Linked DNA regions of Oreochromis niloticus. The protein of the gene in region 3 interacts with the protein of the main gene of each other region in a pairwise test. Links are inferred from orthologs where the notes say so. Each region holds a gene or a part of one and is shown on either strand. Other genes may lie near its edges. The genes, in order: obi1, ssna1, tceanc and csrnp1b.

What was found.
Region 1: the proteins of tceanc (region 3) and obi1 interact in binary tests that used the Homo sapiens proteins (3 or more experiments, as listed by UniProt). The two-hybrid records come from large-scale screens. The link is inferred for Oreochromis niloticus from reciprocal best matches to the Homo sapiens genes TCEANC and OBI1.
Region 2: the proteins of tceanc (region 3) and ssna1 interact in binary tests that used the Homo sapiens proteins (3 or more experiments, as listed by UniProt). The two-hybrid records come from large-scale screens. The link is inferred for Oreochromis niloticus from reciprocal best matches to the Homo sapiens genes TCEANC and SSNA1.
Region 4: the proteins of tceanc (region 3) and csrnp1b interact in binary tests that used the Homo sapiens proteins (3 or more experiments, as listed by UniProt). The two-hybrid records come from large-scale screens. The link is inferred for Oreochromis niloticus from reciprocal best matches to the Homo sapiens genes TCEANC and CSRNP1.

The regions. Positions count from the first base shown.
Region 1 is NC_031965.2:14,861,718-14,868,829, reverse strand, and holds the start of obi1 (RING finger protein 219), read right to left. Parts: upstream 3,014-7,112; 5' UTR 2,771-3,013; coding exon 2,699-2,770; intron 2,540-2,698; coding exon 2,404-2,539; intron 130-2,403; coding exon 38-129; intron 1-37. UniProt on the Homo sapiens protein: E3 ubiquitin ligase essential for DNA replication origin activation during S phase.
Region 2 is NC_031972.2:31,110,602-31,118,354, reverse strand, and holds ssna1 (microtubule nucleation factor SSNA1), read right to left. Parts: upstream 3,003-7,753; 5' UTR 2,515-3,002; coding exon 2,463-2,514; intron 1,469-2,462; coding exon 1,269-1,468; intron 355-1,268; coding exon 262-354; 3' UTR 121-261; downstream 1-120. UniProt on the Homo sapiens protein: Microtubule-binding protein which stabilizes dynamic microtubules by slowing growth and shrinkage at both plus and minus ends and serves as a sensor of microtubule damage, protecting microtubules from the microtubule-severing enzyme SPAST.
Region 3 is NC_031986.2:14,111,400-14,119,405, forward strand, and holds the start of tceanc (transcription elongation factor A N-terminal and central domain-containing protein), read right to left. Parts: upstream 3,017-8,006; 5' UTR 2,870-3,016; intron 2,713-2,869; 5' UTR 2,708-2,712; coding exon 1,736-2,707; 3' UTR 1-1,735.
Region 4 is NC_031974.2:17,921,596-17,929,520, reverse strand, and holds the start of csrnp1b (cysteine/serine-rich nuclear protein 1b), read left to right. Parts: upstream 1-4,922; 5' UTR 4,923-5,101; coding exon 5,102-5,107; intron 5,108-7,925. UniProt on the Homo sapiens protein: Binds to the consensus sequence 5'-AGAGTG-3' and has transcriptional activator activity. May have a tumor-suppressor function. May play a role in apoptosis.

The DNA.
Region 1 (7,112 bases), on a different chromosome or scaffold from region 3:
AGCATACTAAACATAACAGAGCATGTAAAACCAATACCTCATACTCGCGTAAAAGTAATTCCCCTCTGGTTTTTCTGAGACATTTTCTCACAGAAGGACTATCACTGTGATCACCCTCATTTGTTCCTCCTGTAACACAAGCACACAAGTACAGTAAATGATTAACACAATAGACCACAAAACACATTTAAGTAATGTTCCAAGTAACATCAGCTGGCTTTTATGTGGCTTCGTTGTTACCTTAGCACAACATTACAGTAATAAAGAGGCAAGCGTAAAACTGAATAACATTCAAGGCTTGAGGTGCTGCCATTTAAAATGCAGGCAAATTTAAAGTGCATGGGGAAATTGTGACTGATTTTCACAAGAGAAGACCATCATTTGTAACATTCCTTTTAGTAATTTGGTCACATTTTCTCTTTTTAGCACAAACATTGTTTGTTTTTAAAATGTATTTACCAAACAAACAACAAAACAAGACCAAATGGGGTTAAAGTTAGGGAATGATTTCCCTCTTTATTTTAATCTTGTCACACGTTCCTGTCTCACGTCTTTATGGTATAGTTTCAACAAGGTGCTGGAAATATTCCTCTGAGATTTTGGTCCATGTTGACATGATAGCATTACACAGTTGCTGCAGGTTTGTTAACTGAACATCCATAATGTTAATCTCCCATTCCACCACTTCCCAAAGGTGCTCTACTGGATTAAGATCTGGAGACTGTGAAGGCCATTTAAGTACAGTGAACTCATTGTCATGTTTGAGAAATCAGTCTGAGCTTTATGATATGGTGTGTTATCCTGCTGAAAGCAGCCACCAGAAGATGAGTACTCTGTGAGTACTCAAAGTGGTGCACTTATCAGCAAAAACACTCAGGTAAGGCTGTGATGCTTAAACAATTCTCAGCTGATACTAGGGGAGTCAAAGTGTGCCACGAAAATATCCTCTGTGCATTTACACCAACAACAGCCTGAAAACAGTTTATTCAAGGCAGGATGGATCTATTCATGTTGTTTTCACCAAAATCTGACCCTACCATCTAAATATCAAAGCAGAAGACTCGAGACTCGGCCAACAATTTCCCAGTCTTCTGCTGTCCCGCTGTGGTGAGCCCATATCAATTGTTGCTTCAGTTTCTTGTTCACAGCTGATAGGAGCGGCACCTGGTGTTTCATCCGTTTCAAGGTGGGACTTGTGCATTCAGAGATGCTCTTCTTCATACCTTAGTTGTAGCAGGTGGTTATTTGAGTTACTATTGCTTTCTTGTCAACTCTAAGCAGTCTGGTAATTTTCATCTGATCTCTTGCATCATTATGGCATTTTCACCCAGGGAACTGTCACTCACTGGATATTTTCTGTTTTTCAGACCATTCTCTATAAACCCTAGAGATGTTTGCGTGGGAAACTCCCAGCAACCATGTCACATTTAAAGTCACTTAAATTACATTTCTTCCCCATTCTGATGCTCTATTTGAACTTCACCAGGTTCGCTTGACCATATCTGTGAGTCTAAATGGATTGTGTTGCTCTCATGTGACTGACTGATTGGATATATGCATCAACAAGTGAATCTAATCAAGTGGCCAGTGACTGATATTAAAATTCCAGCAGTACAGGTGAAACAACTGCAATAAAAAGTCAACAAAAAGGTTGTTTTGCAAGAAACAGATCCGTGAATGACTGAAACAATCAAGTCTGAATCAATTTTTCGGGGCTAAGCTTAGCTATATGTCTGTATGTCAGTGAGTACTGTCTGGTATTGTTACAACAAAACCCAAACTGATCTGCTGCCAACAAAAATAGAGAGAAAATGCTCGAAAACAACAGGGTTGCATGATTAAAACTAAATACATAAAAATCATATATTCAAATATGCATCACACAAGTTCAAATGAAACGTAAAACATTTATTTTTCAGTACAACTGTCTTAGATATATCACCTCATGCTACCTTTGCCCGCATAAACTGTAGCCAGTTTGTTTTGTGGATAAGGGAATACAGTTTTACAGACTGAAGACAAGCCTGCAGTAAGAAAATCAACAGTTTTCCAATAAGCATTTGGAAAGGATGGCCCCCCCAGCCCCTGTCAAACGCTTAAACACTGCAAACAACACAAGAGTTCATAAACCAGTCATTTTTATGCTGACTTACTCTAAAGCTGCAACAAGCAATCTCACTAAATATGATCCAACCTGCTTTATTAACTGAAATCGTCAACTTGGGGATATTACTAACAAAACAAACGTCACGGCTCATAGAAAGTTGCCTGCAAAACTTGAAGCCGTGCTTTGTTGGGAGCACAATGAAAAGAAGACTCAGCTGTGAGATGCTGCAGGCAGGCAGATCACCTCTTCTCTTCTGCTTCAAGCCTGCTTTCCTTTGTTTGCCCGCAACTACTCACCGATGATTTCCCTGCAGGGGTTCTCTGCTGTGATGGGGACTCTGCAGGTGGGACACTGGTTAGCTTTCTTTAACCACATTTCCATGCAGGATGAACAGAACACGTGGTGGTTGGAACAAATAACCGGCTGCCTAACCTGCACCGAGAAAAACACGAGCAAATTAACCCACTAGCACAACCAAACACAACAAACAACGGTCACCTCCGATTAACTCATGTAGGAAACAGTTTGCTGAGTTTGTTTAACAAACGAAAGGCGCTAACGAGGGGGTTAAAAAAATCGAACGACACTTACCTTTCCGAGGCATATCTGGCAGGAAATTGGCAGAGTGAGCGAGAGGGTAGATGCCTGGTAGTTCAGAGCCATTTTTCATGAACGTACAGGTCATATAGCTCACTTCCCTGAAGAGGTACAAATCTCCCACCAAACCGCTGCGTCGCGCGCCGAGCCGCACAGCTACGGAAAGCCACAGGGGTCAAAAGGCGGTTCTTCGCGAAACAGGTAACAGTTGACCTTCACCCGTAATTTTATAATATTAAAATTATGTCTTCTTCACTGGGTTTCACAGTGAAGAAGACATACACAAGTATCTTGCTTTAATGTATTCTAGTCACGGCTAAACCGGGGCACAGTAGCTTTATCACTTGCCAGTTATTTTAAACCGGAAATAGAAAAGCGTTAGAAGTCATGTGGACTGTCCACTTTCATATCTTTGTTTATTCCCTGCCAGCTGCTGTGTAAAACAGTGGCATGTTGATTGTGTAGTAACAATGTTCACAACGTAGCTTGTAACTAACTTTGCTTCTTTGCTTGTGATGCTGTGCTGCATACAATAATTTTATTAAATGTAGCACAATATTCCAATAATTGGTCATGGCGATAAAACCAGACATTACAGCTGTCTGTGGTTCATTCTGTATTGTATATACATACTGTAAACATTTTTTTAAGTATTTTCCTTCTCCTGACTTTATTTTGCATATTTGTCATCCTTACATGTTTAGATTATCAGAGAGGTTTTAATATCAGACAAACATAAACTGAGTTAATACAAAATGCAGTTTTAATTGATGAGTTATTAAGGGAAAAAAGCTATCCAAACCTACTTGCCACTGTGTGAAAAATTAACTCCCCGCTATCATAAAGTAACTGTGATTAACCATTTTTTTGAAACATGTTTGAGTTCAGTTTCACTAGCCACTGCCAGGCCTGAATGCTGCCAGACCTGTTAAATACATCACTTAAATGAAACCTGTCTGACAAAGTTGACCATAAAGGCTCAGACAAAGGCTCATCTCACAGTATCCAAAAACATCTTGATGATCCCCAAGACATCTGGGATAATATTTGAACTGACAAGACAACAGTTGGAAGTTTGAAAGGTCTTATGCCATTAATTGTGGCATAAAACTAACACAGCATTTCATAAAGAGAACATCATATCAACAGTCTGCCTGACATGGTGGTGGTAGTGTCATGGTCTGGGACTGCTTCCAGTTCCATTGATGGAACCATGAATTCGGCTCTCTATCAAAAAAACTACAAAGAGAATGTCCATCAGTTCACACCCTGAAGCTCAAGTTCACTTGGACAGTGATCTAAAAGGCAACCAGCAGATTGATCTCTGAATAGCTTTAAAAGAAGGTTTGGAGTGAGCTAATAAAAGTCTGGACCCAAATCAGATTGAGATGCTTTGACAGGTCTTTCATGCTTGAAAACCCTCCAGTGTGTTTGAATTAAAATAATTCTGCAAAGAAGAGTGGGCCAAAATTCCTCCACAGTGATGTGAAAGCCTCATTTACAGCTATTGCAGAGGCTTAATTGCAGTTCTAGCCGCCAAGGGTGACACAATCAGTTGTTAGGTTTCAGGGGGAAATACTTTTTCACACAGAGCTAGATAAGTTTGGATAATTTTTTTTTTCCTTAATAAATAAAGTCATAGTTTAAAAACTATGATTTTTTATTTTTTACTCAGGTTATATTTGTCTGATATTAAAATCTGTTCAGTAACAAAAAGAAATAAAAAGAAATCAGGAAAGTGGCAAATGCGTTTTCACAGCTGTGTATACAAGATGGATGTGCCTTCCTGGCCTGAAAGATGAAACCATGGTTTAATAGCCTTAAACCAGTGTTCTTTGTTGTGGCAATAAGGAGACCTCTCATCAGGTTTTAAAACGAAGTCCAGTTGTACTAAAGTCTGTGGGAAAATGACAGTTTGGGTTCTCATGTCTGTGACCCCAGTAAACACTTTCGATCACTAGTTTCAGGTCTTATTAAATGCATTATTTACACTTTTTAAAATATGTTCCCCATTAGAGCCATGAGGCCTATTGCTAAGTTGAGAGCAATCTGCTGGTGCCTTGATACAGTATCTTTACTTCACATAACAGTTTGTTTAAAGAATTTTTTTAAGGTTGTACTTTATTAATTCCTTCTTTAGTTTGACATCATGGAAACCATGAAAAAAATGCAAAATGTATTTTTTTAAACATATTACAGAACATGTTTTTACAAATGTTTGTAAGAACTCACTGTGGAGACCTCCAGCAATGAGTCCTAATGGCTTTAGACCTAACAGAAATGCATTGATTATTGGTGCTCCAAATACAGAGCTCATTTAAGCAAGCTTGTATGTGTTGAGGATCCACTGATGATTACAACAACAATAATTAACTTTTTTCACATAATATAGGTCTTCTGTCTGAATTAATACATTGGGGTTATCATTAATAATTTGTTGGGAAAGCAAAACCAATTTAACATATCAATATTTTTCCAAATATAGTTTGCAAACATGATTTCCTATTTTCAAGTTTACTATGTTGTATTTGGGAAAGTTGCACATCACTGCATTTTGCAATGCAAATATGACCACGTGCACATATGATGCAAACTACAACATTTTCCTTCACAGAATACACTGCTGGATTTGATGGGCAAGGCAGCTGTATTCCCTATAAAAATCTATAAAGCTACCTTTCATCCAGGGGAATGCTGAAATTTTGGGTGTAATTTGCATGTCACAGATTATACTGGTAAATTATTTTAAAAATGAACCTCGAAAATAAAGTCCTGAAAGAGGCTTCAGTGGTTCAGTGTAGTAAAAAACAATGTAATAATAAAATATTAACTTTTCAGATACACAGCAGCACAAACGCTTTCTATTTGGGTTACACTGTAAACAAATATAGCTGTTCTCTAGTAAACTCACTACACAATGAACTTCTGGCAAAACTTGAAGTAAAGAATGACTTACTAGGTAGAAATTATTAAGAAAATCGGTCACTATAGGTCAATACACTCCCAGTAACAACAAGATATTTAGCTTCGGATTTCCATCTTTATAGTTTTTATAAAATGATAATTCACAGTAACGTACAAAAAAGGAAAAAAATGAATGACAGAAACTAACGGCAAATTGAAAATCTCTTAAATAGATGCAACAAATAGCTCATTCATTCAGTTAGAAAACAATTGCATTGCAATATTTTGTGAAGCCTAAATGATCTAATTTATAAATAACAATACAGAGTGACCGAATATTAGCATAATTTCCACTACAAGTATTTCAAATTACATCTGCCCCACAGCTTAGCCCCCCAAAGCCATTACTCATATCTAAACCAACATGTCCTGTGCACATTGTATCTTAAGCCAGGACATCTTCTCAAGATCTAATATGATTAGAATTGACTGACTTCAAAATAACCTTGTACACTGATCCCAGTTTGAAAACATCACCAGTACTTGTTTGATTGTTTTTAGTGGTCTATTAAGTGGATCACAGGCTTCCATGTGTTCTCACTCATTTTTCATACCACCAGAGAACATTTGGAGTAAATGTACGTGATGAATATGTTTAAGTTAAATCAGTTAGAGAGCGACATCAGTGTAGAATCAATTTAAATGCCATTATTCAATGTTACTCTTCATTATCCCTAAACAATGAGAATATTTTAATGTATACAGACTTCTGAAAGAGAAGCAGCAGGAACATATTCAAATATTTTTAGTAACTGTATCCGATTGGACTGAAAAAAAAAACAGTGTGGATGTTATGTGGAAGCTTTCATATAATTCTATATTAATCCCAGTATTGAAAACAACTTCAAAGTACGCTTTACACACAAGATGCTGTCAGAGGCACTTTCCAGTGTGCCACAGCAAACCTGCAAAACTGTAAAAGAAGTGGTTAATGAATTTACTTCAGGGCAACTTGTCCTAAAATAACCAATATCAGGCCAAAATGAAAGAAATACCCATTGTCCCACTGCGATTGCTTTGCTTTGCAACAGGCCAGTCATTAATTGGTGACAGTCAATTAATCACAGCCGGCACAGACGGCTGCATCTATTGATCTTGTCCCAGCACTTATTTTTCATCCCTAAATGACACCGATTGCCATATTTGACCAGCATGTGTAATGGACAGTGAAGAACCAATGACCCAAGTGTCATTCTTGTCACTGGTCGGGATCTCGATCCCCTCCCCCATCTCTGGCAAATAGCATCTTTACCATTTAGCTGGGAAAGGTTTAGACTGCCCTAAGAGCACAGCAGCGAAACAGTGTGCTCTGGTGCTCAGATGACCTTTTCTGTTTAAGGCTTAATCTCTGACAAATGCTTGCTTTAATTAGCCTGATACCCCCTGCCTAGACTGCCTCCCCACTCTCCCTCTCTCACTCGGCATGTAGTGTTCTGCTTTTCTC
Region 2 (7,753 bases), on a different chromosome or scaffold from region 3:
ACCTGCCACTGCTGGTGGTCTCTGGAAAATGCCAATTAAGCTGAATGAGAACCAAGGAGTCCTGGCCTATGCCTCTCACTCAACAAGCAAAACAAACAAATTGGAGTTTTAACACAAAAAAAATGTTAGGAAATACATTTATTGAATCCAGAAACTTACAACAAAGGTTTAAATATATTAAAAATTAGTCCAAAGTGGGGAATAAACTGCCTCAGAAGTCACAGTCAGGTGAGGTCAGGTGCACAGTTTTGCTCCTGGCCTTCAGTGCTCCGTCCTCCGAGGCTCCGTGGCTTTACTGAGGTTTCCTGCTTCCTGCTTTAGGACGCTCAGGAGAGACTGGGAGCTCTCCAATATCTGCAGGAGTTAAAACGAAAACAAAACAACATGAACTAACTTGTGCAGAAACTCAGAGGAAGTGTGGAGTGCACTTTAGAAGCAATTAAAGAAGGGGTCCAGGCTTGGCTGACTTGTTGTTTTTTAATCAGAGCAGCTCGGGAGTGTTTGTTTACAGTGATTAAGTGAGAGCACAAAGGGAGTTCAGCGTCAGCAGGTGGGATCTTACTGACATCCAGTACAGCAGTCAAAAGCTTCTGTGGCCATACCCAACTTTTAATTAGTTCTTGAATCAACGCTTGAGACTAAGAGGTTTTCTGGTTGATGCTGACAGTCCAACAAACAGCTATTGTTTTAGCATCTTATAACCACTGATCCATTACTCATGCACTAATAAAAGTATCCCACCCCCACCCCCGCCTCTCCTTCCTCCGAACTTCTGCAGCTGGTATTACCCAGCAAACTTGGGTGAGAAGCAGTTGTGGTATGAGGCTGTTGTGCCAAAAATTACTTGCTATTTTGAGTTAGAAAGAACATTTCTGTCACAAGGTAGAAGCAGCCATGGTGCGACTACATAAGATCCTTTATATTACAAAGACCCTACAATCAGACGACCTCCTATCAGCAAGCACTTGGCAACAGTGGGAAGGAAAAACTCCCTTTTAACGGGAAGAAACCTCCGTATAATGCAAAATAATATATAATACAGAACATCAGTCAACATGGAAATTCTTGCTGGACTGTAATGATACTTTTTTGCTGTTATGCAGAGCTCCGTTTGTTCTCCATTCACCATGCACCTGTTATGTGATATTGATTAACTGTGCAGAAGAGCCACATGAATTTTCAATTTTTTATTTTATTTTCCCTTTAAATACCTGTGTAAACAAACAGTCAGCATATGAAAACCACTGCAGGCTCGGTCATTGACGCACCTTGGTGTATGCAGCCTCCGTCTCGGCGATGGTGCGGTCAAAGGTGGCGCGTGCGGCGAGTCTCTGGGTCAGGCTCTCATTGACTCGGCTCAGCTTCTCCGAGAGGACACGGATGTCATGCTGCAGCCGCTCCTTTTCCTCTTCCTCTTGCTTGATCTGTCGGTTCAGCTCATCCCGCTTCGAGCAAAGCTCCTCGATACCTGATCGGGAGGGAAAGGTGGGATTAAACTAGAGCCTCAGTAGATCTCCTCGGGACTCAGACAGATGATTTCTGCCATAATTACGCAGCCCAAACACAGACATGGATATAGTAAACAGAAAACAAGGGAAACCTTCACAGTGATCTGAAATTAAACACACTTATTAGGTAAACAACAGTAAAATACTGGTCTTAAATTTCATTTGTGTGGGTGAAATGGCTTAGCCACTTGCAGGTTAGTCGCTATCAATACCAAGACTAAAAAAGTAGGATTAGTGCTTCCCTAATTCCAGCAGACCAGAAACAGATTAACCAACACCTGACAAGTGACAAGCTTCAGCTTCACTGGGCTTTTATCTTCTAATACTTTTGAGAGAAGAAGAAAAAGTGTCACATGGACATACAGCTAAACTGCAGCAAGCACTCAGAGCTGATACCTGTTAACACCATTCGCGCCAGTGCGGAGTGCAAAGGGTTAAAGGTGATCTGAGGAGGTTAATCAGATTATTAGGCGAGGTGCAGCATCACAGGTTAACCTCTCAAAAAAGCACTTATTTTCAGTTTTAGACAAAATTACAGGCAGCAAACTTTGCTTTAACACAAGGGTGTCAACATTGCAGGCTGGGGGCCAGAACCGGCTCCCCAAAGGATCAACTCCGGCCCGCAGAATAGCTCATTAAAATAAAACCAATATGACAAGACAAACCAGCTGAATAAAAATGCTACAAATTACACATAAGGAGGACACAATAAACTTTAACACAAGAAGGAAATCCGAGTATTGTTCTCTGGTGACAGTGCAGGCTACAATATGCTTGGTCTACATATTCTCTTGTGAAATTAAAGCGCGATAGTCATTTAATAGGCAAAACCAAGAGGAAAATATGCGTAATTCATATATTAACCAGTAATTATACTATAATTTAAATTTAAACCGCTAACACTGTTATGCTAATCAGTCTAATGTGTTATTGACAGTAAATAGGCTCACTCACATTTGACCAGCTCGTTGTTGTAGGTCTGCAGAGCTGCAGCTTGTTGGGTCATGTCGAATTTTAGGTCAACCTTCACCGGATTATATCTGACTTTAAACGCGAGGTACTCGGTCGGCTAGCTCGTCATCTATCCCTAGGACCTAAACAAGCCGGGGTGGGCCAAATATTCAGCACTGTTTATTCAGCAAACCTTATGAAAGCAGAGCCCGTACATGGCGAGTTTCCCAGACAACTCAAACCCAGGAGGAACTACCGGACACCCAACCAGAGACGACAACTTGGAAGAGAGTCCACTTCCTGTTAAAAACATTGTGTGGAAATGAACTGGAGTTTAGAAGGTTGCCAGCAGATGGCGCACACGACCAAGACCTTAGGGAATAGGAGTAATTATAACGAAACAGCTAAAGCAATCGTTTGCAAATGCTTCTACATAAACAGCCAAAATGTTATTTTAGTTTTGTTCTCCAAGGCAATAATAATGAATTCGAAATTATATAATATCGACTCGTTACTGGAACCATCTCATGAGCGCCCCCTATCAAACCAGAAGTCGATAGAGTGAGAGTTCTTATATTAAGAGATATCTGACCTTCTTCTCCACTGTGTTTAACACCGATAATGTCCGGCTTGCGCCCTCTGGCGGATAACAAAACCTACTATTAAATTAAGTTGCTGTTAAGGGTTATCCAGACATCCAGTACTAGCACAATCCAGAGTACACATCTGGAGAAAGTAAAAATATTGGCTGCTGTCAGTGCTACCCCACAGCCTCCTAGCAGATATACCTGTGGTATCAGTTTCAAAATACTGCATCACCTGAAGTGATCACACTTACAAGATTTTCATAAAACTTGACCACTGACCTTGAGTAGATCTTTAGTAGATCTATGGTATAAATTTAAAACTGCTATGTCGTCTAGTTCTCATGTTTTCGGATTCACGACGTTTGGGAGATTTCTCAGCGGCTGCTACTGAGAAAGAAGCTATATTACTGAGTACATGACAGACAGGAAGCAGTATGTGAGGGTGTCCAGTGCTCTGTCTGACTGGTGCAGCACAGGAAAAGAAAAAAATCCTCTATAGCGATGTGCGAGACTGATAAAGTCAAACAGAAAATGATTATTTAAAGTTATTGCTGCTAAAGGTGGCCCTACAAGTCACTGAATCAGTGTTTTTCACACACTGCTTCTGCATTTTAGGTTTTATTAAATAAATGATGACATGTTGTAACATTTCACACGTTACTGTTCAACTCAGGTTTTATTTTAATAATTTTAGATTTGCAGTTTGCCTACCAGTCTGAAATTGGCGTCGAATTAGGGTGGATGACGCTGTCATGTACCTGTTGCAGCAATCCCTCACATACCACAGTATGTGAGGCTTCATGACTGTGTGTCCGACGTGGTAACCTGCAGCACGCGGGGCACCGCAGGGCACGGTTTTCTCACCCTTCTTGTTCAGCCTGTAAACTTCTGACTTCTATTATAATTCAGACCATTGCCACCTACAAAAGTTCTCCGATGTTATGGCCATCATCAGATGCGTATCAGATGGAAACGATCAGAAATACAGGAGGGTCATCAGTGACTTTGTCGGCTGGTGTGAGACCAATGCTCTCCAAATCAACGCTAGCAAGATGAAGGAGATGTACATAGACTTCAGGAGGAAGTCACCCCCTACAACACTGGTGAACATCCAGGGAAAAGACATTGAGACAGTGGACTCATACAAGTACCTGTGTGTTAACCTCAACAACAAACTGGACTGGACTACAAATACAGACGGCCTGTATAAAAAGGGCCAGAGTCAACTCCACCTGCTGAGGAGATTTTATGACACTGTGGTAGTATCCACCTTTTTCTATGCAGTGGCCTGCTGGGGGAGTGGATGCACAAACAGGGACAGGAGGAGCAGGATTGGCAAACTGGTGCGGAGGTCTAGCTCTGTGCTGGGATGTCCTCTGGAGTCTGTGGAGGAGGATGCTAGTAAAGCTGACATCCATCATGAACAACCCACATCACCCTCTGCATGAGTCTGGGAGTGCGCTGAGCAGCTCCTTTAGTCAGAGACTGAAACACCCTCACTGCAGGAAGGAGTGCTTTTGCAGATCATTCATCCCGACAGCAGTTAGACTCCATAACTCCTCCTCATGATGTCATGATCATGCATCTTATATATGTATGGACGTGTGCATGTATATGTGTATGTATATATATATATATATGTGTATATTTAGTGTGTATGGATGTATGTGTATTTCTATTTCTTGACTTTATATTCTTGGTATACTCTGCATTCTTCTGCTATTGGTACCTGAGCTGTGGTAATGCACAAATTTCCCCACCGTGGGATCAATAAAGTCTTATCTTATCTGATTTTTTAAAGTTTTAAATTAGCTTTGCAACTTTTTAAATAAAATTTCTGACTTTGTTCTCATAACTTTGAGAGCTTTTCTTGTGTTTTATCCTATTGACAGTTTTTCCTCATACATTTTTCAATTTGTCCTTCTTTGCCCCTTGTTTTGTCCTTCATAGCCTCTAAGAGTCTAAGATAAGATAACCTTTATTAGTCCCACAAGTGGGAAAATTTGTTTTGTTAAAGCAGAAAGTGGACAGTGCAAAGTTACAGTAGCAAAAATTAAGAAAACACACTGGAATAGGATATGATAATAAGAATAAGATACTGTACACAATAGAATAGAATAAAATGCTATATACAACAGAATAAAGTACAATGTTGTCAGAAAAAGAGAATTGCGCTTAGTGTTATTGCACATGTGTGGATGTGTGTGTTTGGTCAGCTGCAAAGTCTTTGTTGTGGAGTACAGAAACCTTTCAAAAGCAGAATGTTTAATAAGCATGATTTGTACGTTTTATTCCTAGAAATTTGCAACTTTTCCCTTGTTTTCCCCAAATTTAGTAAATTTGCCATTTTTTCCTAGTAAATGTGTGACTTTGTATTGTAATTCTTTCTTTGTTAATTTATTTTCTAAATTTTTGTTCTAAATTTTGGTAACCGTTTCCATTTTGTCTTCGTAAATATTTAATTAACAAAATTTCCATCTAAATTTGCAAAAAAAATTAGTTGTTGTTCTCAGAAATTTGAGAGCTTTTCCTTGTATATTTCCAAATTTTGTTCTGGGAAATTTGCCGTTTTTCCCCCATAAATTGTTCGACTTGCCCTCGTTAGCCCCTCATTTTGTCCTTCGTAGCCGTTGATATCCCGTCTTAGTACAGAAGCTCTTCAAAAGCAGCCTTCAGGTGTGGCTTTTGTAACTCAGTGCGCGCATCAATAAATGTGACGTAATTCCACGGTGGGCGGAGTTTACGTCCAGGCACCATGGCTTCGGTTGGGACCGAGGTGAGTGTGTGAGCTTTTTCTGCGCCAAGCTTGTTTTACTTTTGCCCTGTTTTCCGCTCCTCGGAAAATATGTTTTGTCCCGACGGGTGGACCACCCCCCTCAGAGCGGCCGAGCCGCCGGTGTCGAACTGTCGGTTCGCGTTAAATTGGCCACTGCCAGCCTTGGAGTCTTTTGCTTTTGTGCTGGACCGGAGGGCAACTGAATGTGCAGGAAGATGCTGCGCCCCGGAACATGAATACTCGGCGCAGGCACGTTGTTCGCTTTTTGCCGGGGTCTGATTATACATGGTGCCGGGTTGTGTTACTGTCCTGCCTGTGTCCAGCTTTAGCGGTTCAAAATAAACCACATACACACCTTAAACTTGCCTTTTTAGCCAATATTCTCACAGTTCTTGCTGCACTGTTTGTCGCCGGCTCACTGGTGGCTAATTTGTACACTGTTTTGTAGCTAGCTGTTAGCAGCGATGCTAGCTAACAGCAGAATGCTCACTTTTAAATTCCTAAAAAAAACCCGGATTCCTGCGATTGTCCCCTTTACACCGATCGGTCTCCATTTATTCCCTAACAGTGCGGCTAAACGCTCGCCTGATAATGCTATCTCCACGGTGGTGTGCTGTAACTGATGCAGTCAAATGAAGCCAGCACTGGCAGAGCTGCAACAGCCTCCCATTGCATACATATGGCGCCAGATCCGGATTCACCTTTTCACTCATTATTTATCTTTTTTAACCTTTTAATTATGATTTGAATTATTCTTCGAGTGAAGGCTGATCTGTGTTGGATATTGTCACGGCTCTCAGTGCTGCTGGCTGTTTTGTAGGTGCATTGATTTGATTTGCTTTTACAGGAAGGTTTTATTGGTGAAGGTGGATCATTTCAGCTGATCGGCATGTGCAAAGCTGCCACAGCTTCATTCTCTGGTGCTTCATTTCTTTTTAGTAGATATGGTCGATATGGAATCCTTGCTTTGTTCGGCAGAGGTCGCTCCAACAGTGCTGAGAGTATCTCGAGGTGTAGCAGAGAAAGGTGTAGGGCATTGAGCTGTGCAGCCACTTCCGTTTACGCGCATAGCTGGTGTGTGAGTGACTGTTTGTTTGTTATTTGATGCATTTGCCCTCAAACGGCCACTTCACCTATTTTAAAAAGGAGGAAAATGAGGAAATATGCGCGCCAGTCTGATGCTTTTAAGCTGATAATTTCAGGCACCATGTTGGAGTACAGTCGGTGGAATTGGAAGGCTTTATTTTTCATGTGATAGAAATGATATGAATGAAATGTTGGACCTTTCATTTTAAAGATTAAAAGACACATTGGTTATCAGATTGGTTATCAACAGGCAACCTGAATGAATGTTTGAATAAATGAACCAAACTAAATCAATTTTACACCCACTTCCAGAGTCACAATCTAAACCCAGAATCTTATTTGTATCACCAACTTTAAGCATTATCCCTGTTTGAGTTTTAAAACTGCACCAGTTTAGGGTGGGACTATAGTTTACGTGTTCGCGAGACCAACAGGGTCTGTGTGGTTCCCTGTGATATAAATTTCATCATCAGATGGTGAGTGTAGTGTGAGGGTTTGTGGCTGGCTGGCTGTTTTGTTTTGTTTTGTTTTTGTTTTTTTTGCAACCACATGCACTTGACTTCAGGTGGACTTTCAAGCCATACAACAAAGAGGACTACTTGGCTGTTGGGTTTCTGTGTCTGCATCATAGTGTAAGTGAGGCATTAGTATCTGTAGCATAGAGTAAATACTCACCGAAACATCACGTCTGGTTGCTCAAGCCATACTTTGGTTTCGTTTGGGCTTGTTGTGCAAATTTTTGTAAACCAGCATAGTTGGGTTAAAGACATGAGCGTTAGATGATTATATTGATGCAGCAGTATTAAAAATGGTGATAGGTTTGTGGTGACACCACTGTGTGCCGC
Region 3 (8,006 bases):
GAGTCAGTCCAATGAGTGCTGTCAAACAAATCCTTTTTATGCTGTAAAGATAAACTCCCTTCTGTACCCAATCATAATCCCTAATGAGGAGTTAATAGGCCTTAGCTTTGTTAAGACATTGTAGAACCTACAGCACCACCTATTAAAATATTAAAATGATTGTTCTTTAGAGTAATTCCGTACAATCATTCCACCCTGAAAACAGAACAGCTCAAAGAAATCATTAAAAGCCCAAAACTAGCATCACAGTTATGCCCTTGATGAGTGGATGTAAACTTCTCACCACAGCTGTATGTGGCTGCAGAGCATCAATCTGACAGGGCACGTCACTAAAATGCTCCTTATCTACTTAAAAGATAAGGAGCACGTGAGAGGGGATGGAATACAGACAAATGCACCAGCGTCGAGATACCAAACACGATAGAAAGATATGGGGGTTTTTTTCATATTTGGCCATTTTACCTTCGGCCTGCTGCAAAAATCAGAAAAGATGCAATAGGCCAGGACGTGACATAAATAATGACGCAGGAAGAACAGCTGAGGATAAAAATAAGTCATTTTCTCTGTAATATCTTCACACACAAAAAAAGACTGCTTCATGTGACATCACAGTGACGTGTATGTGAGTCATTGTGCCACGCTGGCTGGAGCACCATGGGATATCCGCCCCTCCGGCTGCTAGGGAGGGCAGATTACTGGCTCACATGCTCGGAGTTCTTCAGGGGTCACATGTCTCATCTGCTGGATTCAGTTTGCTACAAATGAATGGGATATTGTAGAGCAGAGGCATGTTTTAAAGAATTCCCCCACCGTGTTAATACTCAGAAATACTGACAATAAGTGCAAAATAATGCATTTTTTTCATAAAACTTATAAAATTAAACATTAGCGAAGCCAGTGGTCAAGGCATTAATGGATCTTTAGATCAGTAATGTAAGAGAGAGCGGCCAGTAAAAGCAGTTAAATGAGCTACTGTAAGTAGAAATAAAATGAAGGGCTATTACAGAGAGTGGAGACACAGGAAATGATTCAGCGGGAAGAAGATGACGACAGCTACTTCTTGAAAATCCATGGTTTCAGTCGGAGACTGCAATGACTTGGCATTTCAGCCGGTAAAGATACAGTTTAGGCTTTCAGCTGTGGGTTTTAGTGGTCAATGCATGAAAGACAAAGCACAAATCCTATGGGAAAAAATCTGGTTTAAACCACAAGTATGCACTTCATCCTGCAGGAAAGTTTCCACTCTGCATCCCATGTGACCAATCCTCCTGTTTCAGAGCTGAGTTTATAACACTCAAAACATTTAACTGGTCACAGGAAAGCCTTTATAATACCAAATTGTGAACTAGGGGTGAAACTTGGAAAACCAACTCAAACAAGTGCAATTTTACAGTGGGCAGAACAGCTGAAACAACCAATCAACTAAATGGCTGGAAATTCATCTGCAACAATGGCAGTTTAAGTCAATTTATTATGTAAATGTGTAAAGAAAAGCCTTCAAAATGTATTATTTCAAAACTAGCAACACTGAGTATCTGAGCTAGGAATCCAAGAAGGTCATGTTCCAGATTTCTGAACATTTTTAACTCCACAGATGTCAAAAAATAAGAAAGTAAATCATTAATGAAAGTTCTACACAGCATGATTCTTGTGCAAAATGGTTAAAAATCTGTTATTTTCATTATCAGTTAACCTGCTCTTAGCTTTCTTAGTCATGTATGTTATCCATGTGGATTCAGAGGCAGACCCAGCTGCTGTGGTACCACTGCTGGCCACACCCGCTGCAGGTCACAAAGGTCATTGCATCCTCATCTGGGCCGCCCTGCCTCACCCACGCAGGCAAGAACAGAACCCCTCTGGACACCTGCGTCACCCTACAGTCTGACCCCCCGCATCTTTTGCATCGAATCTTCTCCGTCCGCGTCCCCTCTATCCCTTGAGGAAGCTGCCTCTCACTCACGCCCTGGGAGGAGTACTCCTCCCTCAGCTGCCGCAGCTCTGCGCTGGCCATATCCTCCGCAGACATGCGGGCGAAGGCCTCGGGGGACAGGGAGCCACTCAGGAGGCCCTGATGCAGGTGGCCGCTTTTGGGATTCCTCAAGTTGGCCACCTTGCTCCTCACACAGGCTTTATATTTGACCTGGTTGTGATTATGAAGTTCGTGGACGTGCCGCTCGATGTCTCGGGCCAACTCAGCAGCCTTGTCCTGATCGGGGGCAGAGGGGCAGAGGGCAGCAAGGAGGAGCTGCACACATTTGGTTCTCACGTTATCTGGAGATGCAGCAGAAGTATGAGCTTTGGGTCCAGGTTTAGCCTGCATAGATGATGGTTCTCCTGCAGCATTCCCCTCTCCACCATCACATGTTTGGGCAGAAACCGCACCACCCACGGCTTCTTTTGGTGAAGAAACACTGGCAGGGAGCTCAGGATCCTCGCTCTCCTCTGTGCACTTCACCCCTTGCCTGTCCTTCGTGTACTGTCTCTTCCACTCGGACAGCAAGCTCTTGACTGTCTTCTTCACGCTGTCATCAGTGCAGGTTTTCAGGAGCCTGTAGAGCACTTTGACGATGTCAGTTGTTTCCAGCTGTTCCGCTGTGACGTGAGACTTCTGGAGGTCACCAAGGAGGGTCATGATGTTCCCATAGCTTCTGTCTGCACTGAATTTCTCTATCTGAAGAGCACAGCGGAGCATCTCCTTTGGATCCATTGTGGCTGCAAAGACACAAAAGTAAAGATGAAACAATGAATGTTTTTTTTCTTAATGTGGTGATGTTTGCCCCTCACTGCAAAATGAAGCACTGCTCTCCTGAAAGCACAGCAGTATGTACCACTTAGCAACACATTAAAATAGACTTTTGCACATGTTTACCTGAGTTCCTTCATGGTTTGCAGTTTCTTCCTGCTAACAGTGAGCCTAGCAAACGTCTACATGGGAGCAGCCATGTTGAATGTGTCTCCACGGGAGAAAAATGCCAGCATTCACCTCTAGATGGAGCTGTAGCCTCACAAAGTCAATGTGTGCATGAGGGTAGTGCAGGTAGTTTCCCATCACTTTCTTAAAATGGAACTATATATATGTATGTATGCAATCTTTTTTCCCCTAAAAACAGGGATTAATGCAACATTACAAATGAAACCTCTTTGCAATGAAAGTGTCACCATGAATCCCCGAATCAGTACACTGCGGCCTGTTTAATCTGAAAGTATCCCAGCAGAGCTTTCCAGCTGTGCTGTCAGTCTGTGCTTTATCTAAAATGTACTGTGGGATTAGTGCTTTATGTGAGGATTTAGGTGTGTGCTTTTGGATTTTCCAGGTTACTCCCACGGCCAAACTTCTGTCTATTTTAACGCCTCTTTCCTGTTTTTCCCACAATAACAAATGTGGATGAACCTGTGCTAAACCACACGAGGAGCTGAGGGTGTCGTCCAGACAAAGTGTTCGATTTCAAATGTGTGTTGCATTAATGGCTATTATTATAGCCTTATGTTCCTTCTTTTCAGCTCCTGAGATCGAGATGAAAGATATTTGGTTCAGCGTGCAGAAACGTGTAATCCTCGCATCCAAGCAGCCAAATGACCTCCAGACAGGAATTCAGTGGAACTGATCTCGTGACAAGATGAGGCAAGTCTTTCAGCTGTGCTGCAATTACATGTTTTGATGGAAGAAGATGAATGAGTGTTTAGGATAATTCGTGGTTGTGGAGCTAAGACCAGAAAAGTTCCAGCGGACGCACCAGTTCGCAGGTAGTTGTTAGTATTTCGTGGAAGCCTGGAACATGGTTTGATGTAATCACACCATCGACGGTGACGTGAATGAGAGAAAAATGCAGGCTTAATTGCATGGCTGAAAGGTTGATTATGTATTAATTGGATGTTGTCTGAATGGGAGCATTGACAAAACAATTCAATAATACCTTTAGGGCTTTATGGACTGTACGGAAATTGCTGAAGTGATGAAGGAGGCTGATTTAGTCTGTGTTTGCCTATTTTGTTGCTTTATTCCCTTTTTCCCAACAGCACGGCACATTCATCATCATTTTTTGTTTCCAAACATGCAGCACTGACTCACCCGAACACACTCATACTAACTACTAAAATAATATAACGAAAAGGAGTTAGTGCTTTCCATTTCTATGGTGAGCAAAGAAGACCAAATGTAAACTCACCAACTGTATTGCTAGTACTGGTTTGGACCCTCTTGGCTTCAGAACAGCCTCAGTTCTGTGTTGCATAGATTCAACAAGCTGCTGGAAACATTCCTTAGAGTTTTTGATCCATATCGACATGATAGCATCATCCATTTGTTGGCTGCACATGGCTCCATGATGTGAATCTTCTGTTCCACCACATCTCATTGGTGCTGCATCGCGCTGGGATCTCATGACTGTGAAGGATATTTGTGACACAGTGTTTCATCCTGCTGGAAGCAGCCAGCAGAAGATGGTACACTGTGGTCATGACAGCATGAACATGGTCAGCAACAACACTCAAGTAGACTGTGGTGTTTAAATAAGGCTCAGTTGGTACTCAAGGGTCGAAAGGCATGCCAAGAAAACATTCCCTACACCGTTACACCAACACCAGCAGCCTGAACTGAGGCTGGATGTTGTTTATGCTAAATTCTAAATGCTGGAGCAGAAATGTTTGGTGAACTTGTGAAAATCTTAGCCTCAGTTTTCTGTTCTTAGCTGGCAGGAGTGGCGCCGGGTGTGGTCTACTGCTGTTGTAGCCTTTTTTTTTACCTTTACATTCAGAGATGCTCATTACAACCTTGGTTGTCATCACAACCTTGCTTGTAATGGGTGGTTATTTTAGTTACTGTTGCCTTTCGATCAGGTCAAAGCAGTCTGGTCTTTCTGACCTCAGCCATCAGCAAGGCATCTGAATGCACAACACATCAAACCTTGAAGTAACAGAAGACCACACCCAGGGTCGCTGAGGCTACAATTTACAAGAGCTCACCAAAATTGGACATTAGAAGATTGAAAAAACATTGACTGGTTTGTCTCAATTTCTAATGCAACATTCAGATAGTAGTACACATTTGGAGTAAATAACATAAAAGCATGGATCCTGCAGGCTTGTACAACCAGTCGGTGGTGTAATGGTGTGGGGGATATTGTAGAGTAGATTATAGCGACTTATCTTGCAACATAAGGCTAAAGGTAAGCATAAAAATAAATGATGTCAAAAGGAGTTCCTTTACACAAGAAACAAAGCACGAAACCCTCTACATTTTCAAAATCTTAATTATAAGGACAAATATTTTTGTACAGCCCCTTATAAGTTACTCGAGAATATATGTATTTTTCTGTAAGTATTATTTTCACATCTGAGGTGCTGGTTTCAACAAATTTGGCGATAGCTGCAGTGGCAGAAGTTGTAAAGCCTTCCAAGACTCCTTTGACTGTGAATTGCATTCATAAATTAAAGATAAACAGAAACCACGAGCTGCCTTTATATCAAAATGAGCTTTTTATTCACTGAAGCACGTTTAATAGTCCTGCCAAATCATATATGTTATTATTCATACACAAAAGCCCAGATGAAATGTAATTACATGAACAGGGCGCCATTATGCAACTGCTGGTGTGACATCACCCTCCTGATCTTACATTAAAATGTGCTTTCAAGATTCATGCAGCTGGGGCCGATAGCAGTGGAGGCCTCAAGGGAAAATTGATTCGGTGTCTCTTCGCATAATAGCTTCTGGTTCTCAAGTTCAAAGAGCTGCTTTTAAAACCCCAAATGGAAGTTAAAGCTTCCAGGAGGCTTTTAGCAGCGTTAATGTTTAACTTTTCTTCTCTGGCTTGAGGAGTTTTCTTTGAGCGTGTGAGGAAATGTGCTGTGAGGGATATTTGAGGTTCTGTAAGCGAGCTTTCTTTTGTTAAGTGGATTTTGTGAACTAAAACTCCAACCTTTCACACATGTAGAAGGGTCCTGAGTGTTGACCCCCACCGAGGTGTGGATTGAGATGGGTGGGGTCCGGCTGAGCCATCAGTGAACACATGTAAAACTCCTCTTTCTGTGGTTAAATACATTAAACCTGCTGAATTTTGAACCCTCAAACAAACACGAGTGATTTCCATCACAAGAGTCACAAGACACCTTGCATCTTATCAAGTCATTTCAGTGCGGCCTGCTTGCACTTGTGCACTTTCTTATCACTGGGAGTGGAATTTTACCAGCACGCAGCTGCTGTGACAGCCGAGCGCCGAGAGGTGGCGCTCTCTGCACTGCGCTGGTTTGAACAGAGCCTATGAGGAAGTGGAGTCCTGCTGTATCACATCCTGCTTTTGTTGTCCCCGCCTTCTCGATGGCGTGTACGCTTGAGCACACACACACACACATACGCGCACACACTACCCCGCCCTGAGCTTGAGAAATTCTGAGGAGGAGCATGGCCTTCTTGTTAGAGTGATCAGCTTTTTCATGGTCAGACATTCATGACAACATGGTAAGTCCCTGCACCCGCAACCACGACCTGAAAATACCCCCCAACGCTGCCAAGTGCATGTGTGAAAGACAACAAAGTGAAAAGGTGTTATAAGAAATCATCAGTCACATGGTGCTGAGTTACAACAGCCAGTGTCAGTGCAATAATAAGCCTTGTTCTTAACAGGGTGAGAGAAGGTTAGAAAACAGGAAGAGCTACACATATTTGCTTTTTTTTTTTTGGCAGAAGTCTGATCTGACTTTTCGGTGGGGGAAGAGGAAATGTTTTTTTGTTTTCTTCCCATTTTTGACATTCCAAAGGAAAAAAATGTGAATTTTACTGCAAACAGCAACATTTTTATTGATTGTATCCTATTTGTTTAAAGTGAAACAAGTTTTATCATGTAATGCTCTATAATTAGAGTGCTTTGCCTTTCAGATGTTATTAAATATGATGAAAATGATGTGTTTTATTTATTTATGTGATCTCTCTCTGTAAAAACACATGCGACAGAGACTGTGGGGTTTTTTATGCTGTGAGAGCAAAATCAACTCTTATTTTGTATCTATGCTTAATGCTCTTGACAGGTCATGTGTGTGTGTGTGTGTGTGTGTGTGTGTGTGTGTGTGTGTGTGTGTGTGTGTGTGTGTGTGTGTGTGTGTGTGTGCATGTGTTGAGAGGGACTTGTCTGGCAGTGCCCTACCCATCATACCCTTCCCATCCGTCATTACCTTGAGGGTAATCACTGATGACTGGACTGGATTCTGTTTGTTTTCTCTTTGCTTCTGCCTCAGGGTTCATTCTGTTTTGTCTGAAGCTCTGCAAAGATTTTTTTGGTGCTTCTGGACTTTCTATTTGTGTGTGTCTGTGTGGGAGGAGGAGGAGTAAGGGGTGGGGGTGGGGGTGGGGGGGTTAATAAATGTTATAAAGAGGCAAAGTATAGACAAAATGTCATGTTTTGGGTTTTTTTTAGCTTGTGCTTATTTGGAGTCCTGCAAACCCAGAGGCAGGAAATGAGCCTCCCCAAACATGAAACCGCTAAGAGCGCAGTTGCTGTGTCTTCTCTTGCTGATCATAATATTTTTCCTATTTGATTAAGAAAAAAAACTCTGTTCTATCAGAAGCGATGAGGAAGTGCAGACGATTGTGACTTGTTTGTGCTTTGCTCAACAGCGGAGTCAAAGCAGAATCACGAGACTCACTCTAACCCTTTTCTTGATTATGGTGAAACAATGCTGTGCAAGGTGCTTTGTAAGCAACTCAATTTCATAGCGCCTCTGGGGATGTGACGCAGCACTTGATAGCAGTTCAAAGCAAACTTGGGAGCTCAAAGTGTACACTCTGAAATAGTTTCATTAAATTGTTTCCTTTTGTATAACTGCCTCTGTTAACCCTTTGTACCAAAGAGAAAATTTTAGCATTGATTTTGCTATTCTGATCCTCTGAGGGTTCAACCATATGTTTCCTCCCCTGCACAAATAATTATCCACATTGATTCATCACATTTGTTTTCCCATGAACCCCCCTTCCTCTCTCTCCCACACACACACACCAACTGGACGCATGCTCT
Region 4 (7,925 bases), on a different chromosome or scaffold from region 3:
TTCTTAATGCAGTCATGTCCAAGTGTACAAAACTGGATGATTTAGAGGGCTGTATTGTCCCTAGAAGATGATGAGGTGTGCTTTCTGCTCAGGTTTTTAAAGTAATCTTATTAACTAAACACTTAGGTGGCGAATTGCGCCTTCTGCTTGAAATCCAATAAGTTTGCCTCTTGCAGGCTTTTGTTGGCAAAGTCTGCTTCCTCGAGAGTTCCTTTCACTACTTAGGTCTCATCCCCTGTAGCCCTGCCGCTTGTTTTCATAGCTGTGATGAACTGCGCCCTGAACTCTTGCACTGGTTGCCCTCTGCAGTGAAACACAATGCCATGTGCCTCTATCACACTCATGTCTGGGGCTACAGGTGACCAGCTGTCTGCTTGTATTCCTCTCCTCTGGGACAGCTGGAGCCATCAATCAGCTCACCCCCTCCAACCCCACCTTCCCCGAGCCCCATTGTGCCCGTCTGCCTGGTCTGACCACCACAGCAGCACCGTCAGACTCATCTCATCTGCTCTTTCGCTCCTCCGGGGAGCGCTTCTGAACTTCCACGTAGTTGCGAATTCATGCTTATTTCCAGGCTTTCAGGACAAGCTGTGCAAATCTCTCGCTGTCTCTGGTGTTGATTTTTGGTTTGAGTACTTATTGATGAGTTTGGCATTTGGCTCCCATGAACTTGCCCTTCATCTAACAGCTAGTTTTATGACGCCTCTGATGGTCATAAATTGATACATTGTTGAGCCCACTCCACACAGCACGTGCAGTCACAGTCCTTTCTCCCTCTGCAGATGGAAAGCATTGAAGCCCATTATTGTGTTCTTGGAGGGGCGTCTTCCACCATGAACTCTTTGGCACACTTTTAAAGAGAGTGGCCTTAATGTATTCAGGCCTGATTCACAGTGGCTTTGGCACTACCGCTACCATCCCCCCAGCCTACACACACACACACACACACACACAACTCTTTTTCTTAAAAGAGAGAGTAAACATGTGTGAGTCGCACTGTTCCTTGGAACTTTTTCTTGTTTATCAAAAAGGGAATTGATGAGCCTGACAGGGAACTTCAAAGGGGGACATAAAAAAATTCTGTTCACCTCAGGTGAACTTTGTGAAGGACACTTGATCAAAGAGCAGAAGGACCCAACACTTGCAAACTAAAACTTTTTATATGACCCAGATTTGCCTGTTGCATAATGCTTGTCTGTCGGAACAACATTGTTGAACCTGTGTCAGTTATCTGAAGTTTGCCAGCACTGCTACTATAATTAGGCTAAACCAAACCGCAGAAGTGGCTGAGCGAGCGTGTCTCCAAGCTCTCCGAGCCTTGTCAAACAGAGGGCTAATTGTGAATGTTGGTAATTATTAGGTATTTTATAACAAAGAAAGCAGAATTCCTCGGTAATGGTGACTGCTGCCTCTGCTCATGTGACTGTCAGTTTCTTCCTCTGGACTGTGGACAGTTCATTGTTGTGTCTTAAAGAGCTGCAGGGCGACAGGGAAACTAATTGGGTGGAGTATGTCTGGACATACAGACTCCCAGGCTCTCTACCGGAGCGTCGCTGTGCCACACACGCATGCAGACACACTCACCTTACTCGATTACACACCTTTGACGTGTGAAAACAAAAACAATGATTACTATAAAGCATGCAATCCGGTCAGCGATAACAATAGAGATGGCACTATTAAATGTTTATTTACATCCTCAGTTACTTAACCTTGTGCTTTAGAAAGATGTAAGTTAAAGGTGCCTGATATTTCTGTCTGATATTTATTCACTTTTATTGTAACTGCGCATGCCTTTTTTTGTTTGTTTTTACAAACAAGCTTCGTGATGAGCAGTTATCCGTGGTTTTTACCATGTTTATTATCACAAAGCCATTCAGTCCTGTTCCAGTGGTAATTTACGGCTCCGGTGAAACTGCTGCCTCCAAAGCAAACGACGTCAAGTAAATCTACGTGTTTGCATTTGTTGGGTGTTATTTTAGCACCACTTATTCTAATTTGAATAGAGAAACTCTGTGTTTTCAGCAAGAGCTGCGGAGGGACTGTTTCTGCTGCCATTCGGCTTGAAGTGCCTGTTTTTTGCTTTCAGGGTGGGGCTCTAAGTGAGTCCCTCAGGCACAGCAGCTAGTGAGAAAAGGGTCTTCTTTAAGGAGGACACAATTTGCATAGGTCTATGTACACAGCTTTCGGAGACCTCTCCCCAAATATCTGAGTCGAGCACCTGTATTGACATTGGCAGAACACTTTGTCTCAGGATTCAGGTCCAGCTGAGAATGAAAGCAAACCACCTCAGCGTGCTCGCCGTGGGCAGCTAGAGTCGCAAATACCTGAGAGGACTTTATCAGCTGGGGTGGGGAGGGTGTGTGACGCTCCTGCTTCATGAGAAAAGGGTTGCAAATTAATCCCATCAGTGATTACGACACATAGAGTTGTGTTGTAATCCCACAACTAAAAGACATGACGTAAAAGAGTTGATGATACAGTCTTGATCCCTGGGGTCAAAAGACAGGGTCAGCAAAAGAAGTAATTTACTGAGTTGTCTGGTAAGTTAAATGTATTTAAGTGGGGCCATTCTGCTGTTACACAGTTTGTTTTATTTAACTGAGAGCAAGAAAGAAAACAAAATTCAGAGAAAACTATGGTCCTAAAAAGTAAACAAATGAAAGGAGGAAGGAAAGTAAGACTGAAATTAAGAGGAAACTATCACCCCAAAAATAAACAAATGAAAGAAGGAAGGAAAGTACGAATGAAGCTTAGAGGAAACTATTGCACTGAAAAAGACTCGAGGGAAGAAGAAAGGAAAACAATATGGAAATTATGAGGAAACTACTGCCATGAAAATGTAATAATAAAAACACCTATTTCTTTTCAAAATAAAAGCATATATATACTACTAGTGTACAAGTGCCAAAAACAATTATTGTTCTTTTTTGTTTTTCATTTCATAATTTTGGAGAAGTAATTCTGAGAACTTGAAGTGTCCAGACAATAATCCCACATACACTAACATACAATAACATAGTTGTTTTTAAGGATTAATAATGATAAAGTTTGTGGTAAGCTAACTGATACATGTACCCATGTGGTTTGCTGACAGATCTAAAGTGGTTTCAGCCTCCTTATTTAACCCAACTTTAAAAATAACACATCCATGTAAGGTCATTGTGTTTAAGTACAAGACAGGTTGTCAGCGCTTACATCCAAGAGGTTAACAAAAAAAGAAAAACAGAAAATGTGAGCTCAGCCTCCCTCAAAGAAAGCCGTGAAACCATTACTCAGGATGAACATGCAGTTTCTGGGGCTTTCAAACTCATCTCATTGCCCTAAATAAACACAAAGCTACTCAAGTTACTTTGTTAACCAACGTAGTTAACTAAACTGTTTTCACCATGTGATTTTTTTAAAAAAAAGAAGAGAAATCATTCCAGGACAGTAGTTGTGATTGCTTGGTTATGATAAGAGGTGGCGTTTCCTCTAAAGCCTACTTCACTTTTGCGTTCCATGTAAAAAGAAACTGAGTCAGAATTTCATGCAGCTTACTCAGTGTTTTCCTTTAACTGGAAATAAGCCACGCCGTATACAACATTTAGGCACCACCCACGTTACAATAACAAGACTTTTATCTGCCTGGTGATCACACAGTTTGTGACTGCTCATCAGCTGCTAATATAGAGAGGAACCTGGGGATTCCTATAACTGCCTTTAGAGTATTTAATAGTGAGTATGTATTAAAAAAAAGGGGGGGTAAAAAGAAGAAAAATGTATTTTATTGTGTTTATTTGCATCAATCTATTACTATAACTACTACTCCCAGGCTATTATTATTATCATTACTATTATTATTATTATTATTATTATTATTATCATTATTATTATAATTATTATCAGTGACCACCTGAGTTTTCTCACGCAGGTAGTAAGGACTCAAACCAAACACAGGAGGACGGGCAGGAAGCGGCGTGGGCAGCCTCCTTGTGTCACCGCCTGCGTCAGACTAGACGCCAGGAGGGAGTTTTCCACTGACGAAAAAGCCTGCGCTTCTCGGCAGTCTGCTACAGACAAGGGAAGCGCTTCAGCTGGTACGGACCCCGTGCGGCAGAGAGGCACAGACAATAGGAGAGAATTTTCAAAAAAGGCTGTGTATACGCGGGGGATAAGCGCTACGTTTATTCGTGCCATTTGGATTACTTCCACCGTTAACACCCGTCGGCTGTTTTACCCAGCGTGACTATTCGGTGACTGATGGTGATCGGATACTTGAATTGGTGGTGAGTACAAACAGAATCGGGAGTTTCGCTGCTGGGTTATTGAACACCGTAATTTACGCGTTCAACCTCAGCGGAGGGAAGGAGGGGGGAAAGCCAGATAGTTTGACTGTTTATTCTCGTGTGTCAGGAGTCGTTTAAATGCCCTGTGCGGTTTGTGTTCTCTGTGCGTCTGTGCGTGTCATCTCTGGTGTGGTTTTATTCGCTTGATTTCTTTTTGAACACTTTGCCTGACGCTTTATTGGAAATGGACGCGGCTGTGGTGGCCCCCGCTAGTTAAAGTTGAGTTTTAATGAATTGTTTTCTGATGGCAGCACACGGGTGCTGGCACTCACGGTAACGGGAAAGAATTAAAGTCATTTAACTGATTTTCTTGTTAAACGCGAGATTCCACGACCCGCTTCATTCACTTGGTGATTGATTTATTATTTGGTTTTAGATTGATCGCTGATTAATCGGCGTTTTACAAACTTCACGGCTCACGCCGGGAAAGCCGTGCTTCCCACCGCTGTGGGTTTTCGGCTGTGGATTCATTTAGGTGATCTGAACTGTTGATGAGGTCGGCTTTGTGTATTCAGCCCGTGCGGAGTTGTTCTTGTTCACCTCGGCGGTGCTGGTGCGCCTCTTGTAACTAGAGCGACTCCTGAAGGCACTACATCTGAGCACACAGCTGACGGGCTGCTGTCATTAGAATTAGCATTAATCATGAGGCATGATCGGGTCAGCTGGGGGAGAGAGCCGGCTGGACTCGTACGACGTGCCTGTTCGACCCGATATAATTATAGGTTTTTAATTATTATTATTTTTTTCGGGGTGGATTTTTAGCGATTTGCCACATGCAGGTAACAGTTCAGGCTTTTAGCCAGGTGTGGACAAGGAATGTGGAGCTCCTTCATTGTTTGATCAGTTTTCCATCACTGCATGTGGATCTTTTTTTTTAATTTTTTTTTTTTTTTTTTTTACATGCGTAAATGACTGAAGTTTCTAATTAATTTAAGTACTATAAAGAGAAACGAATGTTAATGTGGTTTGTTTTTTTTATTGTTATTCTCATCCAAAGGTCTTGATTTATTAATGTTATTATTTTTTTCCAGGTGTAACACTGCCCTCTGGGGCTCTTATTTATTTATTTAATCTTTGGACAGTGTCTGTTTTCGATAAAGCGACTGAGTCGATTTAATCGTCTCTAGCGCGACCTCACCCGGATCATTTTTGGAATCATGTTTTCTGGAATTAGGCTGCAGAGAGCTGAATGATCCTTTGTTTACTGAGAAGGAATACAGCACTTGGTGCTGTGCACTTAATGTCTAAGGAGGGTTCAGATGTGTTAAATAAGTCTTTGTCTGCGCTTATTTAACATCATTTTCCATTTATAGCACACATTTTGCACCCACGTCCCTCTTTTAAAATAACAATTGACCTGTTTGCTGCCTTCTCATTAAAACTGCCAATGCACTCCAAAATCCTCTCAAATGATTTGAAGGAATTCGCAGCACAGCGAATAACATCCCCACCTCCTAACTGCCTCATCTCCATCGTGTGATCCTGCATTCAGTTTGCCTTGTGGTGCCTGCAGCTGTCAGACACAGCACAGATAATCTGGATGGCCACTTCCTGTGCACTGCAGTGCATGTTTCACAACCTCAGGAAGCTCATGCACACTTTTAGTATCTGTCTCCCCAGCTGGGAGAGGCAGCAGCCGCATGCTGGGTTCAGACAAGGTTCTCTGTGCCTGCTTCATTTTGGTCACGCAGGATGGCCCCACGCTTTTGTGCCTGGAGACGAGGGTGGAGTGGGGGTGGGTGTGTGTTTTAGTGTGTGTGTGTGTGTGGAGGGGGTAACATGGAGCCTGCTGACAGTCTCCAACACAGCAGCCGAGAGCTCCCATCTGCTTTGTCCTCTCAGCATTCCATACAGCAAGTGTCCCAGACTGGAGCATGACCCCTGAACCCGCAGCCACTCCCCCTCCCTCCACCCAAACACACACCCAAAAGCTGCATGTTTTCTGCTTGTGGACTGTTATTCTAAAAAGGTTTTCTCAAAGTTTGCTGCTGTGCACTTGGCACAGTTTCTGATATTTGCAAGTGTGTTACAGAAAAATCAAAGCTGCATGTCATTTTGTCTGCACAGTGAATGCCATTCGAGGAAAAGAGTGGAAAAACCTGTTTTTGCCTTCCCTTTAAAGCAGGAGTAAAGCAACCCAAAACAGTATGAGTAAACAGTCCTCTGCAGGCATCACCTGGACATTCAGGTTTGGTCTGCATAACAGATTAATGGCAGCCTGGGGCATGTGAAGTCCACGTGCAAGTTAATACCCTGTCAGGTGTGGCTAGGAAAGGTGGCTGGCTCAAGTGTCTAATGGGAGTAGGACTTTCCAGTGGTTAGCAGTAGAAAACGCATCTGGGTTAGATAGAGCCTGTGTTCTTCTTCCACTATTACTGCGGGAGCAGTGCTGCCAGAATGGAATTCCTGTGGCTTGGAGACATGACATTATTTATTTGTTTTGTACAGTCCTCCCTCCTTCTTCCCACTACCTCTCCTTTTTGGAATCGCGCTGTGCACGGGTCAAGGCAGAGGAACAGAATGTTTCTGTGGCACAGTCACAGCAAGCTTTGGGGCTTCGGTGAGAACAACAGGCTTATAGAGGAGAAAGCGGGAGCGCTCCCTGCATTGTTCCAGCAGGTGGAGCGCTTCTGACTAACAGCTGACTTCATATGAAATGAGCCAGTTTCCCCCAGCTGTGCAGGAGCTGGAATCCAGCCCATCGTCACCTTGACGGCTTTGATCAATTATCTCCCGTCCTCTCGGTGTCAGAACTGGAAGTGAGAGGTGCAGTACCTTGAAAGCCTGCAGGGGCTATCCTGCCCAGACACGGTTCCACACACATGGGAAGGCTCCCAAGCTCATCATTATCACATTTTATGAGCACTCAGTCAGTCATTCAGACACTGCACAAGGCTGTCAGTGTGCCATGTAAATGCTCCCGGCTGGCTAAGATTAGTGCAACTTGTCGCTCCCACCCACACGGTTATCAGCTGCAAAGGGGCTGGACAGGCGGTGCGAGGGGGCAAAGTCAACTGTGACTTGTCCTGATGGCTGCGGGGCAGACGGGAGCAGTTCAAACAGGGTGAAAGTTGATATCTGCGCAAAACCAGAGATGTGTATAAGAAAACTTTTATGAGTCGGTTCTTTTTTTTTTGTGATTCTGATTAAACTAAAGCTTTCCAATAAGTTAGGATGATAAGATTTAGCGTGGCATTTTACCTTTTAGAAGTAATTCAAACTCTTTTACATCCTTCTCAAATAATTTAATACTCCTTTATAAAAGGGTTTGAGGGGCTGTCTGCAGATTTAAAATAAAAATGAATTGAAATTCTAAAGTCGTACAAACAGCCCCGTAGCTGGATGTATCAAGATAATCTTATTCAACTGACATAGTTATGCATCTGACTTGAGCTGTGTAGTGCTTCTGGTGACAAATCTCCTCGCCAGAGATTTATCTTTCCAAGTCTGTGACAACTGGCTGGGGAGCACCTCGGTGGATGCGTCCTTTATCTGCCTGCCTGTGTGCGGTTGATGGAATGACAGTGATGCATAATTTAGCGCACGCTGAAAACATGCTGCGCTCCCTCTCTGGCTCGGCTGTCCGATCACATCCAT